2 linked regions of the Stegostoma tigrinum genome follow. The protein of the gene in region 1 interacts with the protein of each later gene in a pairwise test. Links are inferred from orthologs where the notes say so. Each region holds a gene or a part of one and is shown in the gene's direction. Other genes may lie near its edges.

What was found.
Region 2: the proteins of F-BAR and double SH3 domains protein 2-like (region 1) and abcf3 interact in binary tests that used the Homo sapiens proteins (3 or more experiments, as listed by UniProt). The two-hybrid records come from large-scale screens. The link is inferred for Stegostoma tigrinum from reciprocal best matches to the Homo sapiens genes FCHSD2 and ABCF3.

What each region holds. Positions count from the first base shown.
Region 1 is NC_081359.1:90,513,304-90,520,781, forward strand, and holds the start of F-BAR and double SH3 domains protein 2-like, read left to right. Parts: upstream 1-4,467; 5' UTR 4,468-4,962; coding exon 4,963-4,983; intron 4,984-5,221; exon of another isoform or gene 5,222-5,323; intron 5,324-6,045; coding exon 6,046-6,143; intron 6,144-7,478. UniProt on the Homo sapiens protein: Adapter protein that plays a role in endocytosis via clathrin-coated pits. Contributes to the internalization of cell surface receptors, such as integrin ITGB1 and transferrin receptor.
Region 2 is NC_081367.1:55,794,543-55,802,430, forward strand, and holds the start of abcf3 (ATP-binding cassette sub-family F member 3), read left to right. Parts: upstream 1-4,863; 5' UTR 4,864-4,866; coding exon 4,867-4,969; intron 4,970-7,888.

The sequences.
Region 1 (7,478 bases):
TTCTTCACATAATGAAGGCATCATGGACTGCCACACAATTAAAACATTACACCTGCTTTCTTGCTGGCAGTCACTGATATGCAGTCTAATGCTTTTGTGATCAATTACTACCTTTAAAATTAATTGAGTATAAACCTTTTCTACTTATCTCGGTTATTCATATAATGAGCATGAATGCCACCCAGATGCCCTGAAATTAAGGGAAGTATGTCACCCAACAAAAGCTATTTCTAACTGATGCTTTCTTTCCACAAAAAAAAAGCAATTAACACATTGTCACTCACAAACATTGAACTTGGCACTTGATACGTGGGTACTGACTACCAAACCTGGCCATGTTCCCTGAGTAATTTAGGAGAACCCAGGAATTTGAAAATGTATTAATTCTGCAGGCCGTAGTTCCTGTTTCAAATATTGTCTGTAAAGGCCAAATTCCCACTCTCAGGTTAAAAGCAGCGACTAACTCCTCAATAATAAAATGTGAGGCTGGATGAACACAGCAGGCCCAGCAGCATCTCAGGAGCACAAAAGCTGACGTTTCGGGCCTAGACCCTTCATCAGACTAACTCCTCAATCCCAGTTTGGGAGAAAGTGCCCCATATCATTGCATTTTTAGGAATTGTGTAGAGGAGGGGGGAGTGTTAATATTGATGAAAGGTGGGCTTGCTACTGCAGGCAAGAACACAGAGGCAGCCATAGGGGCTGCCAAGTGCCAAGGTAGGCTGTGCAAAAAGCCCATATTTTAGGACTTGTAAGAGAAAATAAAAAGACGAGCCCTCTAAGCCTCACACCACCACCTAACCCCCATCCACCATTACCACATTTTCCATGCCATTTCATTTTTTAAATTCATTCATGGACTGTAGCACTGACTAGGTCAGCATTTACTTTGAATCTCAAGTGCAATTAGAAATGGACCACAAATGTTGACCCGGCCAGTGATGTCTGCAATCTTTGAATGAATTACAAAATGCCATTCGTGTTCTCTATGCCAACAGTGCAATTTGAACATACAAAGACCTTTTAAAATGCTAACACGTGTCTTTCTTTCAATGAGTGGGGAGTCCACCAGATAAATGAAGATAACTTCCCCAGCAGCAGCCAGATTAGGGAGGAGATTGTTTTTTAACCTAAGATGTAGTTGTGAGGAAGATAGTCTCCACAATTTCCCAGGGCAGGGTTTGTCTCCAGCAATGAGCCTCTGAATTATTTTTTTACCTTCTACTGAATTCAGCACATCTTCAGCCTGTCTCAGCAGCCGCCTATTGGCACTGAGGTTGTTGAGCTACAGGCCTGCTGATTGGACTTATAGAGCACAGTGCTGGGCAGCTGTCCTGAACTAGATGCCAAACCCAACAGCAACCACTTAATTGGCTGCTGCCCATAAAATTGAAGGTAAAGTCCTTCTGGCTGTCCACGTGAGCCAGTGGTCTGCTTTTCTGGTCAATATCTGTCCAATAGTTCTCAACGAGGAAATGTAAGTGTTAAGTTTTATGACTGATGTAATCAAACAAGAGAGATGGTAGTTTGTAGACCAATTTAAACATATGGAGCTGTATCTATTTTTCAGAGTGATCCAAGAACAGTCATATGTATCAATGGGTACTCTAATGTGATAAATGTGAGGTGTTGCATTTTGGTAAAACAAAGAAGGATAGAATTTATACAATTAATGGGAGGACCCTGGTAGTGTTGTCAAACAGAGAGGCTTAGGGTTTCAGGCATATAATATTTTGAAATTTGCTAACATGCTAACATGCTTGCCCTCATTGCTCAGACCTTCGAACATAGGAGTTGGGATGTTATGTTGAAGTTGGACAGGACATTGGTGAGGCCTCTTCCAGAGTACTATATGCAGTTCTGGTTGTCCTGATGTAGGAAGGTTATTATTAAACTGGAGAGAGTTCAGAAAAGATTGACCGGGATGTTGCTTGGAATGGAGGATTTCACTTATAAAACTAGGCTGAATAGGCTGGGACTTCTTTCACTAGAACATAAGAGGTTGAGCGATAACCTTACAGAAGTTTATAAAATCATGAGAGGCATAGATAATATGAATAGTAAATGTCTTTTCCCTAAGGTGGATGAGTTCAAAACATGGGGCATATTTTTAAGGTGAGAGGAGAAAGATTTGAAAAGGACATGAGGGACAACCTGTTTTACACAAACAGTGCTTACTGTGTGGAATGAACTGTCCCTGAAAATGGTGGACGCAGGTACAGTTACAACATTTAAAAGACATTTGATAAGAGCATGAATAGGAAAGGTTTCATGGGATATGGGCCAAATGCAGGCAGGTGGATATAGTTTAGTTTGAGAACATGGTCAGCATCGACTAGTTGGACCAAAGTGTCTGTTTCAATGCTGTATGACTTTAACCGTGATTAAAATTGACCAACACAAAAAATCTCAAAGTTCCTTGTTCATTTACGTTAAAGTTTGTTGATTGCTGTCTAGATTCTAATGAATGTACTAGAACTGGTTTCACTTTCAGTAACTTTAATAATCTGAATGTTATCCAACTAACAGAAAATGCACAAAATTATCTGCTGCCTGAAGTTTGAATTAGTAATGGCTCCATTCCCACGATAGCCAAATAGCTCCCAGATCCAGACTTCAAAGTATCTTACAGCTTGAATCAAAAAGATTGATATGTCAATCCTATTGGTGGTGGACTTAATATGCAATCTTGAAATTTTGCTTCTTTAATAAAAGAATCAATTGTTAATATTACCAATTTGTAAGATTACTTATTCTCACTTAAGGTTTTCAACACTGAAGAAACCTTTGAATTTTACAAACAATTTGCAATTTCATAACAGGCCATTCGGTCACATAGGTTTACAGTGGTGTTTATGTTCTACATGAGGCTACTCACTTAGTATTTCCCCTGATGTGTGAAAACTGAGATACAACTAAGTCAATGAGGATATGACAACAAATTCTCCACAACTCAGCAACAGTTCCAGTCTATCAAGCAGTTGCTGTCACACCCTTGTTCTGCAGTATTAACGATACAAAAGAACAATTCCACCAGTAGTGACTCTCCACATTCTCCTGATTTCCTGGGAGGTCAGTTAAACAATGTTAGTATGTGAGCAAAGAACTATGGATGCTAGAAAACTGAAACAAAAACAGAAAGTGCTGGAAAAATTCAACAGGTCTGGCAGCTCTGTAGAGAGTCAAACAGGAATTAACATTTTGAGTCAGACTGGCATGTGTTCCAAAATAGAAAGTGTCCTTCTTGAAGCCAGCCCGATTAGCATTCAGCAAAACTTCAAAAGTCAACTGTAATGAACGGGACACTACATCCAATGGCTGGAAAAGCATCGCCTTCATCAATGATAATGGGAACTGCAGATGCTGGAGATTCCAAGATAATAAAATGTGAGGCTGGATGAACACAGCAGGCCAAGCAGCATCTCAGGAGCACAAAAGCTGACGTTTCGGGCCTAGACCCTGAGATGCTGCTTGGCCTGCTGTGTTCATCCAGCCTCACATTTTATTATCTCGCCTTCATCAATGTCTGTTTCCTCAACTCTTAAACGTCTGGCATTCCAGGGGAGGAATCTGAAACTGTCTTTGAAGCTTGACATCATTCACAATTATCAGACAGAAGCCTACTACAAACTGTTCACAATTGCGATTTTTCCGCCAAATGACACCAAGTTTTGAGTTGAAACATCTTAATGATGAGGCAGGGTTGCCACAGGTTCGGAACAGAAAGGGAAGTAAATCCTGTGGTTTGGGACCTACTATCTCATGCGATCTCCTGCTTAATATGTTCAAAGTACCGTGGGTCAACAATTAGCCACTTCAGTCACACAAAGACCTCAGCTAAAACTGTCGAACCTTCGTAGGCATTCTTCAATCGAGGAATTGAAGACTTGCCGACTGCCTGTCAGAGGTACTGTCTTTGGGATGAGATGAGAAACCTTATCCACCGTTTTAATCTGTTGGGCATGAACGTAAAATGTCTCACTGCCCTATTTTGAACAGCAGCGACTTTAACGCAGAGTCCTGAGTAATGCTTATTTCTCAATCAACATTATTTTTAAAATAATTACCTTATCATTATTACCTCGCTAACAGTGTGTTAACTGACTGCCCTGTTTCCTCCAAAAGACACTGATGGCTGTCACGTGCTTTGAGACGTTTGCTGATGATGAAAAGGGCTATGCAAGTACATTCTTGTTCACACACCTATTCTGTATCACATTGAGGCAGTAATTCACCGGTTGTACCTCAACAGGCTTGCTCATCAGAGCGGCCTCTGCGTGATTGTGAGCGTCTAACCGATCAATCCAATGGAGCCGAGCCATCGATATGACCCAGCTCGATTGCTTTCTTTTGTCCCCTCCCAGGGGTTGCCCCTGGCGACGGCTGAGGCCTGGCGTCACCGACGGGGGCCCCGCTCGAGCTCTCAACGCCAATGACACGAAGACATTTTCTTCTTCCTCCTCCTCCCCCCTCCCCCTCCCCTTCTCCTTCGTGTTCTTGCCGCTTCGGTTCCGACAGCCGCCGCTGTAAGTCGCTATTGAGTGGCGGATCCCTGAAGCGGTGTGTGTTTGGTGGTTAATGTTCCACCGCCTCCTTGCCTCCCCCCCCGACCCGACCTCCTCGCCTTCTCCGGTATTTTTTTCCTGTCTGTCTCTCTCTCACACTGAATCTGTTCACTGGAGTGTTGGTTGTGTAACGGAGGTAGATATAATGGCGGTGTCCCATTGACTCTCAGCAAAGACACGGATCTGTGTCTTTCTCTCACCGCCCCCGTCTCTCAGAAAAAGAGCAGACCCCGATCGTACCGGAGTTTGCTTTTTTTTGTTTCTCTCTTCTCAAACCACTCATTCCTTCTCTACATCGGCGGGTGGCAAGGCAGCTTTCTATTTATCTCCTTGTCGGTTTTCTTTTTCCTTTCCATCCTCCCAACGTCGGATTTATGATTCCTGTCAGCTCATCGACATGCAGCCTCCTCCGAGAAAGGTGAGTTCCAAAAACGACATCTTTATTCGCTGACTCTATGTGTGTGTGTGCTGAAATGTCGTATTCGAAGGAGGTTCGGGGGCGGGGGGGGATGGTGGAAATACAATGTTCCCAGTGTTCAGCTTTAAAAAGGAATTTCTTCCTCCCCCCTTCCCGTTTATGCCTTGATTTCAGTGACGTGCCAATTTGTTTATCTTTGGGTTACTGTGGTCAGATATTTATAGATCTTTTTCGTGAACATGATTTTGTTTTCTCTACAATTTGTGCCGGAATGGCAAATATGCTGTTGTGTGATTGAGTTCGGAATCGGTGGGATTGTTAAGATATTTACATGTGAAAGGTGGGAGAGATGTTTTTGTTTTTTCCCCTCTGGAGTCTCTGGCTTAATTTTTTTGTGTTAAAATGTTTCTCCTTAGTGCGCTTCATCATGTAAACGTCGAAGTTAAAAACCAAAATGTACACGATTTTGGTTCTTGTAATTGCTTGAAATCGGAGTCGACATTTCAAGGAATGACGCTTTATGGGAAGTGGGTAGAATGAATATCTTTTAATTAGTGACTTTTTTGACTGTAATTTCACGAATTGTCTGAAATTGATTAAAATTGACAATTATTACTGCTTTAAATTCTCTACATGAAATGTTTCGCGCTATTTACATGATTTGTGACAATGTATGCTGTCTCAGACGTAGAGTTTGTGCTGTTTCTGGAGAAATTAACTCAAATTGGCGCAGGACTGTAAAAACATTCCGACTTTTTTTTGCTTCAGAAATAGTAGGAACTGCAGATGTTGGAGAATCTGAGATAACAAGGTGTAGAACTGGATGAACACAGCAGGCCGAGCAGAAAAGCTGACCTTTCGGGCCTAGACCCTTCTTCAGAAATCTTCAGAAACTGCTTGGCCTGCTGTGTTTATCCAACTCTACATCTTGTTATCTCCGACTTTTTTGTACTTACTTCGCGTGTTCTCTTGAGTAAACTGGTGGGTTTGGTTAGAAATCATATTTTATCTGTACACATTCATTATCTTTTCGGCCAATGGTATATTTCTTCTTTATCAAAGGTGAAAGTTACTCAAGAACTGAAAAACATCCATGCTGAGCAAATGACTAAACTTCAGGCGAAGCATCAGGGGGAATGTGATTTACTGGAAGACTTGAGGTAGGATTTACAACATTTATTTTTTGAGTAGAACAGAGCAAAAAATCCCAAATTGTGCAAGTATTAAATAACTTCCTCCTTGTTTAGGCCAAACTGAATAATACAGACGTGCCAAACTGAAAATACCACAAGTATGTTATTCTCCTTACACGAATCAAAAGCATGTTTTTAATGTAGCATTTCTCCGACATGTTTTCCCTTCTCTCTTTATCTGAAGAAGAGTACTTGTGTTGAATGGCATTATACATGTGAGAATATTCACAGGTGTCGAGAATTGTTTACTTGAGAGTTCCTGTTTATATTTTCATGTGTACCTTGATAAATTGTGACTTTTATAGCTTTACATTATGGCCTGGAGAAAAAAAATCAAAGTTTTAAGTTTCCTTTTGCAACACTGATTGTTACTAATGTGTAGACAGCCTAAACATGAGCAGGAAAACAAATACTGCAATTCTAGCTTTGCCCTGCACGTGGGTGGCAGTATTAAAACGATAGTTCGTTCTCCTTGTTGCATAGTATATTTGCATTTGCTCCAAAAAAGCTGTACTATTTCTTTTAAACTCAATGTAATGAGTTAATAACTATTTAAACCATTTTTGGTCCTTTTATTTTGAATTGTTATTTTGCGTCTAATTGTAAGGACACATTGTTGAGTGATCTTGCAGTATTTATTTGTCAATATATGCTTGCTTTAAATTATTAAGTAGTCCAAACTGCATTATAAATTATTTGAAATCTGTTTATGTATTATCAAATGACAGATCTCTTACAATACTACGTGTGAAGTGTTTTTAACTTAATAAGTGGTGACTATTGATTCAGTGCCTGCGTACACTCATTTGGATAAACTGGAAATAATGCATTCAATAGATTATACAATAGAAATGAACAATTAATTCTTGCTTTCAAAAGAATTAAAAGGTAGCTGAAATTTGGTCAGAAAGGTTATTGTTTTTTATGAGAAACTAGAGATTGGAGTTCTCACACTTTGCAAATTAAGAGTATTCATTTCAGCATATTGTAGCTTTTTGAAATGCATATACAGTACACCCTTTTTCTTCCATCTCCACTGAGTAAATGCCAATATCTTCTCTTTGAAAAGGAATTAGATGCTCTTCCTTTCTATTGATTATTCATTCATGGGATGTGGATGTCCAAGGCAATGTGCCTGATGCTAACTAAGTACCTGTCACTAATTGTCCTTGAGAAGGAGATCGTAAACTACCACCCTGGACTGTTGCAGACCTTATAGAGGACACCATCTTTTAAGAAGGGAGGTGCAGGGTATTGACCCACTGTAAAGTATTTTTAATGTAGCAACAGAATAAGAATATA
Region 2 (7,888 bases), on another chromosome or scaffold:
TCAAATTCCTGAACTTAAACTGCAGTGAATTTTACAAATTTTACATTAAGGAAATGCAAGATACAGAATGTGTGTCAGATTCATTGAGCGAGGTGCCGAAGATTTCCCAACATTGTTGGCGGAACTTAATGAGTCCCAAACACTCTTACAAGATTCAAAATCTGTTTCTTTGATCAATGAGTCTGTTAAATAATTCAGAATGGTTATTTCCTCCTGCAATGGCTGCACACAACTATTCTCAGTTGTGACGTGTATACAGAATCAGGGACAAAAGAATCACAAAAAGACCTACGTTTACACTTAGAACCACCATAGACCCCTTTAGGCCTTTTGAAAAAAAAAACTTTTAAGTATGTTTAGCTAAAGGATGTTTCTTTCCAAGTGGCCCGAACTCAGCACATCTACGGTTCATTCCGGTCTAGTTTCGAAAAGACCTTCTTAGGGTAGTAGGTCTTGATTCTCAGTACATTTCTCCTGTCACAAATGGAAGAATTCTTGGAAATAAAATATAATTGCAGGGCAATGTGGAAAGAGTAAGGGGAATGGGATTCTTGGCTAGTTCTTTCAAAGAACTAGTGCAGACACAATAAGCCAATTGGCCTCCTGAGCTGTACAAATCTATAGTTAGTGAATGGGAAACTAATAAATGAGGGGGAGTCAGCAGCATGAAGACAGAATGCAACATTGAAACTCTGCATGACCATGTTGCTCAAGACTATTACAGATTCAGGTCCAGAGGAGATAGTAACTGGAAATACTAACAAAGGAATGACATCCTGATAGACGCAGCTGAACTGCCAAATTTAAGAACACTAACGATAATGTTTTAAATGCATATTTAACAAAGAGCAACATGATTTTTATCTCTTGCATTTTAATTACTTCGAGGGAATTTAACTTACAGAAATTAACATCGAGCCAGAGGAAACATTAGGAAGATTGTTCAAACAGTTGACTTTAAAGAGATCTTAAAGGAATCATAGGATCATAGAATCCCTATAGTGTGGAAACAGGTCCTTCGGCCCAACAAGTCCACACCACCCCTCAGAGCATCCCAACCAGACCCATACCCCTATAAGCCACCTAATCTACACATCCCTCAGCACTTTAGCATGGCCAATCCACCTAGTCTACAAATCTTTGGACAATGGAAGGAAAGCAGAGCACCCGGAGGAAACCTCGCAGACACGGGGAGAATGTGCAAACTCCACATAGGTAGTCGCCCAGGGGTGGAATTGAGGCCTGGTTCCTGGTGCTGTGAGGCAGCAGTGCTAACCACGGAGTACTGTGGAAAGAATAAGGAAGATTAAGTTTGGGGAAGGAATTCCAGAAGAAAATCCGACAACATGAAGGTATAGGTGACAAAGTTATATCAAGATCAGTATGGTATGTTGAAGAGGCCAGAGTCCGGAGAAGTGTTTTCAGGGACTTGGAAGACAAAAGTGGGTTAACATAGTCTGAACAGCACATTATTTTCCACAAATTAGAGCAGTCTCCATCCTGCATGATAAAACGATTTGAACTCCTCCATTGCTGGGCAAAATAAGCAAAATAAACATCAGCAACTATTACCAGGTTCCTGAAAGGCCCATGTTCCTCATTGTTATCTAACAACTTCTATGGCAAAGTGTGTGAATGAACATGAGGTATAAACAAAATCAGCCACAACTATAATAAATCTTCACTCCCTGAGTACTTGCTCCCTCTTTGGGGCTCTTGCGGCGCAATAACCCTTCCTCTGAGCAAGGAGACACAGGCTCAAATTCCACTTGCACCAGATGTGTCTGAACATGTTGATTAAAAATTGCTTGGTCCCTCTTCCTCTCACTTTTTGATGTTAACATTGCCCTTAACAGGCTTTGATTGTAAATATTCAATTGGCCAGGTGAGTGTTCTTCCTGGTAGTGGAGAAAGAACATAGACTTGCTCCCCTTGGGAACTGTTGTGGTGCCTTTGAACCAGAAAACCTGGGTTCAGGTTCTACTTGCTCTGGACATGTAATAACATCTGTGGGCAGGCTGTTTTGAAAACAAAACTTGCTCCCTCTGTTAATTGGTATCATCCATAGGCCAGGAGGCCTGGTTTAAGTCCCACCTAATCCAGAGGTGTGTAATAGAATCTATTAACAGGTCAGTTAGAAAGTATCTGCTCCCTCCTTGTGGTCAAATCCCTGTTTGCAAACACTAGAAGCAGGAGTAGCTTTCAGTATCTTGAGCCTGTTCTGCCATCAATAGGATCATGGCTGATCTGATAGCAACCTGAAATCCACATTCCAGCTGATCCTCCACCACTGGCCCCCTTCCTTGCCTTACTTAACAAGAACATACCCATCTGCCTTAAAAAAAATCTCTGCTATCACAACATTTTCAGGAAGAATTCCAAAGATTTGTGACTCTCAGAGGTACTGTGATTTTTGAACAGTGACCCATAGTTATAGATTCTCCCACAAAACATCCTCTCCACATCCACTTTTCAGAAGATCTCTCAGGATTTCAGATGTTTCAAAGATGTAACCTCTTAACTCTGCTACAAGATACAAGACCTAGCTTATCTAACTTTTCCCCTCAAGACAAAGCACCCAATCCAGGTATTAGTCTAGTAAACCTTATCTGAACAGCCTCCAACTCATGTACATTATTCTTTTTGAGGTGATCAAAACTGTACAGTCCTCCAGATGTGGTCTCACCAATGCCCTGCATAACTGAAACGCAATCTTGCAACAAATGATAATATTCTACGAGCTTTTCTCGTTACTGGCTGAACTAGCAAAATCCACATTAATAATTTATTCTAACACTTCTAGTGGATTGAGCAAAACGAACAAGTATACTGAGGCCATTGCACAGACATTTACTTGCACTTAGTATTATAAGAGAAACACAGCTAGATTCACTCATCCAATTTAGAACCCTTTAGAACCAAGATGATGAAGAATTTCTTCAGCCAACAAGATGATTAATCAATGAACTCATTGCCGGAGAAGGCTATGGAGGCCAAGTCCTTGAATGTCTTTAAGAAGGAGATTCAAGTTCCAGATTAATAAGGGGTTCAAGGAGACAAAAGAGGAAAATAGGGTTGACAAACCTATTAGCCATGAACAAATGGTGGAGCAAACTCAATGAGCTGAATGGCCTAATATGGACTTAGATTTTATTGTCACATGTACTTGAGCACTGGAATACAGGAGCATAGTAAAAAGTGTTCAAAGTCACCATTCTCCCACACCATCTTACTATACAAAAGACAGGTTTGAAAAACAGCCAAAAGAAAAGGAAACCTCCAGATCACTCCCCCATATGTCTTCACCACCAGAAAAACAAAGCCACAAAGTCCATTCTCTGTCAGAGTACTGAAATGAGTTCAGGGTTTAAGAACAACAATGACTTTTGGCAATCGTGCAGAGCTCACACCTGGTGTAGTGTGTATAGCTTTGGTCTACATTCTTTAGGAAAGATGTAGCTGCCTTAGAGGGAGTGCAACAAAGGCTCACTAGTTGATTCCTGGGATAAAAGGACAGTCTATGAGGAGAGATTGAATAAACAGATTCATATTCTCAGGACATGAGAACAAAAGGACGTCATCTGAACCGACTTGACAGGGTCAATGCTGAGAGGAGATTTCCCCCTAACTGGAGAGTCTTTACAAACAGGACATAGTTTCATAATGTGTAATCAATCATTTCAGATGGAGAAGTTTGTGAATCCGTGAATAATCTAAACCAGAGAGCAGTGAGTCCTTGGTCACTGAAATATTTTCAAAAGAAAAAAAAGAAATCCGGGGTATTGAGGTATAGAGAAGGAAACTGGAGTTGAAATTGAACATCGACTGTGATTTTATTAAATGGTAAGCAGTCTGAAGAGACTGCATGGCGTACTCTGGCTCCCAATTCTTCAGCTCCTATATCGTATAGTTACTGATAGGACTTGTCAATATCTGATCTTTAGCATAATTCTGCTCATATCAATGGTCTAAACAGGTCTGAGGGAGGCAGAGGGAAACCTGCTGTATTTCTTCCCCAACACCTTGAACACCCCCTCCCCCCGACCTTTCCAACACACACTATGTCACATTACTCTGTGAAATTGAAAATACGAGGCTTCCACAAAAACTGAAGAGGAAAATACAAGAGTCCATGAAGAAATGAGTGGAAAATCTGCCCTTTAGGTCAATCAATTGTACAGTCACAGTGATAATGCAAGAAATCAATGCAGCAGTCAACTGGTGCCCAACAAGATCTCACAATTGACAAAGGTGATAATCCCAAACCCAACTTGCAATGAAACTAACCAAACTGACAACAAAGTACTGCTGATGCAGGAACTGTTGGAGACACTCAGCAGGTCTGGCAACAGCTGTGGAGAGAGAAACAGGGTTAACTTTTTGAGGCTGATATGATTTCTTCACAACTGCCCAGGCCTTTTAACAGGCAGAAACAGCAATCTTACCTCATTGGCACCTTTCAAGATTCAAAGATTCTGCCACTCTAGGCACAGAATTGAATGAGTTCCATGTCCCAGATTTTTTTCCCCTCAAATGAAGGATGAAGAACCGAAAGTAAGCTATTCATCTTGATGGAAAGTGACAGAAATTCACTGTAAACAGAATCAGCTTTTGTCTAATGAGAGCAGTAAACATTTGATCAGTCTGCTGCCACGGGCCTTGCACTGTCCCAGCGGCACAACCAGGTCTGTCAATCACAGCATTCCCACCACCTCAATCACCCACCAGGCTTGGGGTTACGTGCCCCACGCATTGTCTCCTGGGGGCTGAAGTCCACTGGCCTTGACGGCCTCACGTTGACCCTCTGCCCCAGAACTACAAGTTCCGGCAGACATCGCGAGTCAGCACCATTGCGCAGGCGCGGTGATGACGAGCCGGCCGGCTGGCGGAGGGAACATGGCGACTTATGTAGAAATCATCCGGCACGAGTTTCCCGATATCGACTCTGAGCTTTTCCAATACGTGACAGGTGAGGAAAGTCTCGTATACGTTCTGCTTTGGTGACTGCTCACAGCGAATTAGGTTTTCCTTCTAGGTAGTCAGTTGTCCTTACAGTCTCCCTTCTGTATTAGTTGGTGAAACCCGGGCCCGGTCTTAGTGAAATAGATTCGGAGAAACTCAGGGTTATGTGGCATTTGCAGGGACAGCAACAAAATTAACGGTTCGAGTGCGAGATGACTCTTTTTGGGAACCTGGTCTGTCCGAAACGTCAGCTTTTGTGCTCCTGAGATGCTGCTTGGCTTGTTGTGTTCATCCAGCTTCATACTTTATTATCCTGGTCTGTCCGTTCTGGTTTGCCTAATTGCGCTATGGACTATCTTGTTCCAAAGGGGAGCCGTAGCTCAGTGATTAACACTGACCTCCGCTTACCCCTAAGACCGAGTCTGAGACCGTGGACTCGATAGATTGGGCCCCACAGTCCAGGCTGATACGACTGGTAAAGGTCGCCATAGTCCCAGAGGACCATGGGGCTGTTTTATCATAAGAGAGAGAGAGAGACACGACTGGCTTCGAGTTTAACCTGAGGGTCAACCGCGCCTCGGGCAAGGGGACATTGATTAGAAGGTAGGACCTTCACCGTAACCTCAGCCAGGAATTGAATAAAACAAAGACCTGTGGACCTTGAAGACGTGAAACAAAATTGTAATTGTTGCAGAAACAGAAGGTCTGGCAGTGTCTGTGGAGAAAAAAAGCAGAGGTGACATTTGAGTCTAATGACCCATTCTCTGAGTTGATAACAGCCAGGAAGATGTCCAGTTTATGATGATGACAGTGTTGGTGAAGGGGGTAGGGAAAGAGGAAGAAAGAGTAAACGGATGGATTGACGGAGGGCTCAGAGCCTGAGAAACCTAGTCACATTATAAAGGATGGCTAATAGTAAGCCAGGGAAGAAGAAAAGCTGATAATGGAGACAATAAGTAGGTGATAAAGGGTTGGCTGTGCTGAAAGCAGGCAATGTTGAGTCAGGGACCAGAGTGTGGGAGTGGGTAAGTGACATAGAGGCAGGTGTTCAGACCCAACATTATTGATACAAAAACAAAGTTACTGGAACACCTCAGCAGGCCTGGTAGCATCTATGAAAGAAAAAAACAATTAATGTTTTGGGTCCTGTGACCCTTCCTCAGAACTTTGGGTCGGTGTTCTGAGGAAGGGTCATGGGACCTGAAATGTTAACACTTTTTCTTCCTTCACAGCTGCTGCCAGACCTGCTGGGCTGTTCCAGCAACTTTGTTTCTGATCCTGATTTATAGCATCTGCAGTTCTTTAGCCTTTTTACCCAACACTATTGAATTTGATATTAAATCCTAAAGACTACTCAGTTCCCAAATGGAAAATGAGATACTGTCCTTCAAGTCTTGTCAATGTCCTGCAGCAAGCCTAAGACTGAAATGTTGACCAAGGAGGACAATGGTGACAGGCAACTGGAAGCTTGCAGGCATTTTTAAGGACAGATGGTAGGTGTTCTGCGAAGTGGTCATGCAGTCTGAGTTTGGTTTTTCCGATGTAGAGAAGGTTACGTTGTGAGTAGCAGGAGTTGAACCTGTGTCTTTTATGTTATTGTACATTGCAGTCCAGGCATCCAGTCAGCTGAACTCATTTGGGGGAATGCTGAACTGTCAGTGGGCTGGCCTTGAGGGTGTGCTGGGTGGCCAGCTGTCATGAGACATTAATTGAAATTTCGATCTGACTTGTCAGATGGACGTTGAAGTGCCCACTATTATTATACTTGAAAAGCGCAGTGTTCAGTGTCCTGGCCATTATTCATCTCTCAATAAGTATATTAAAAATTCTTAATGTTAATGTATTAATATTCATGCAATTTTGCTGTGAGTAAACTGTAGAATTGTCATGCCTGTGTAAGAGCAACTTGGGCTGTCCTGTGCCCTAGCCTTTTCCTTTATTAGAATGTATTTTGCTTCAGATGTTTGTCCAACTCTATTGAAAGGTCCGGTTGAATCTCCCACCACTACTCGATAAGGCAGTAGAGTCAATCGTAAACCAAATTGTAAACCATTCTTGTCTTTCTGTTAAATTAGCTCACTTCACATTTTTTGATACTGAAATGTTCACGTCTTTGCCAAAACTCTGATGCCAAACGCTAGCCTTACAAGCCTTTTCTGCCCTTCCTCCCATTGGCTTGAATTGGCTGCATAGTTTATTCTGCTTGCTTTGCTGATTGCTCTACAATAAAGGGACATTCGATTTTTGTTAGAACTCTGGCGCACCTGAAAATTTTAACTGTTTCAGCTATTCATGGCATCTTGGCCATTGTGGGCTCCTTCTTTAATATCACAGTTGCCATTATATATGTTATTTCACTGATACTTTGTAAGGTAATATTTAACAACTGCTTTTTGCTTATTTACCAAAGAATATCAGTTGAAAATTTCTAACACATGCTATGATTCTCAAATCTGGAAGTAAGTTGTGGAAATGGGCTTTCATAGAAAATGTCTTGCAAAATTCTGGATTGTAGCATCATGGAAACATAACTGGCAAGGTTGAAAATGTAATTGGGTATCTAAGAACATCAATTCCTGATTTTTCTTTTTCCTTGAACTGTTCAGTGTTCAGACATTTTGATTTGCTAAATATGAATTGTAGTCTTGCATATTCTTGGTTTTGTGTTATATGGAGCCAAGATTAAATTCAAATCAGTTGCTGAAGATGGCTTACAGATACTCATGCACAGTATTTTCTTGGTGTTGCAGCATATGAGATTCACCAGAACATTAGTCTCCTTGGTACTTTTGGTTCTGATATTGAAACCGTTGTGTTCCACCATCATCATGTGCTTTGCAAGTCTGTTCCCTCTTAAGATGAGCCTTGCCAAATCTGCTCCTAATTATGTTTAGCAAATTTTTGTTTAATCACTCTTCGCAGCAAT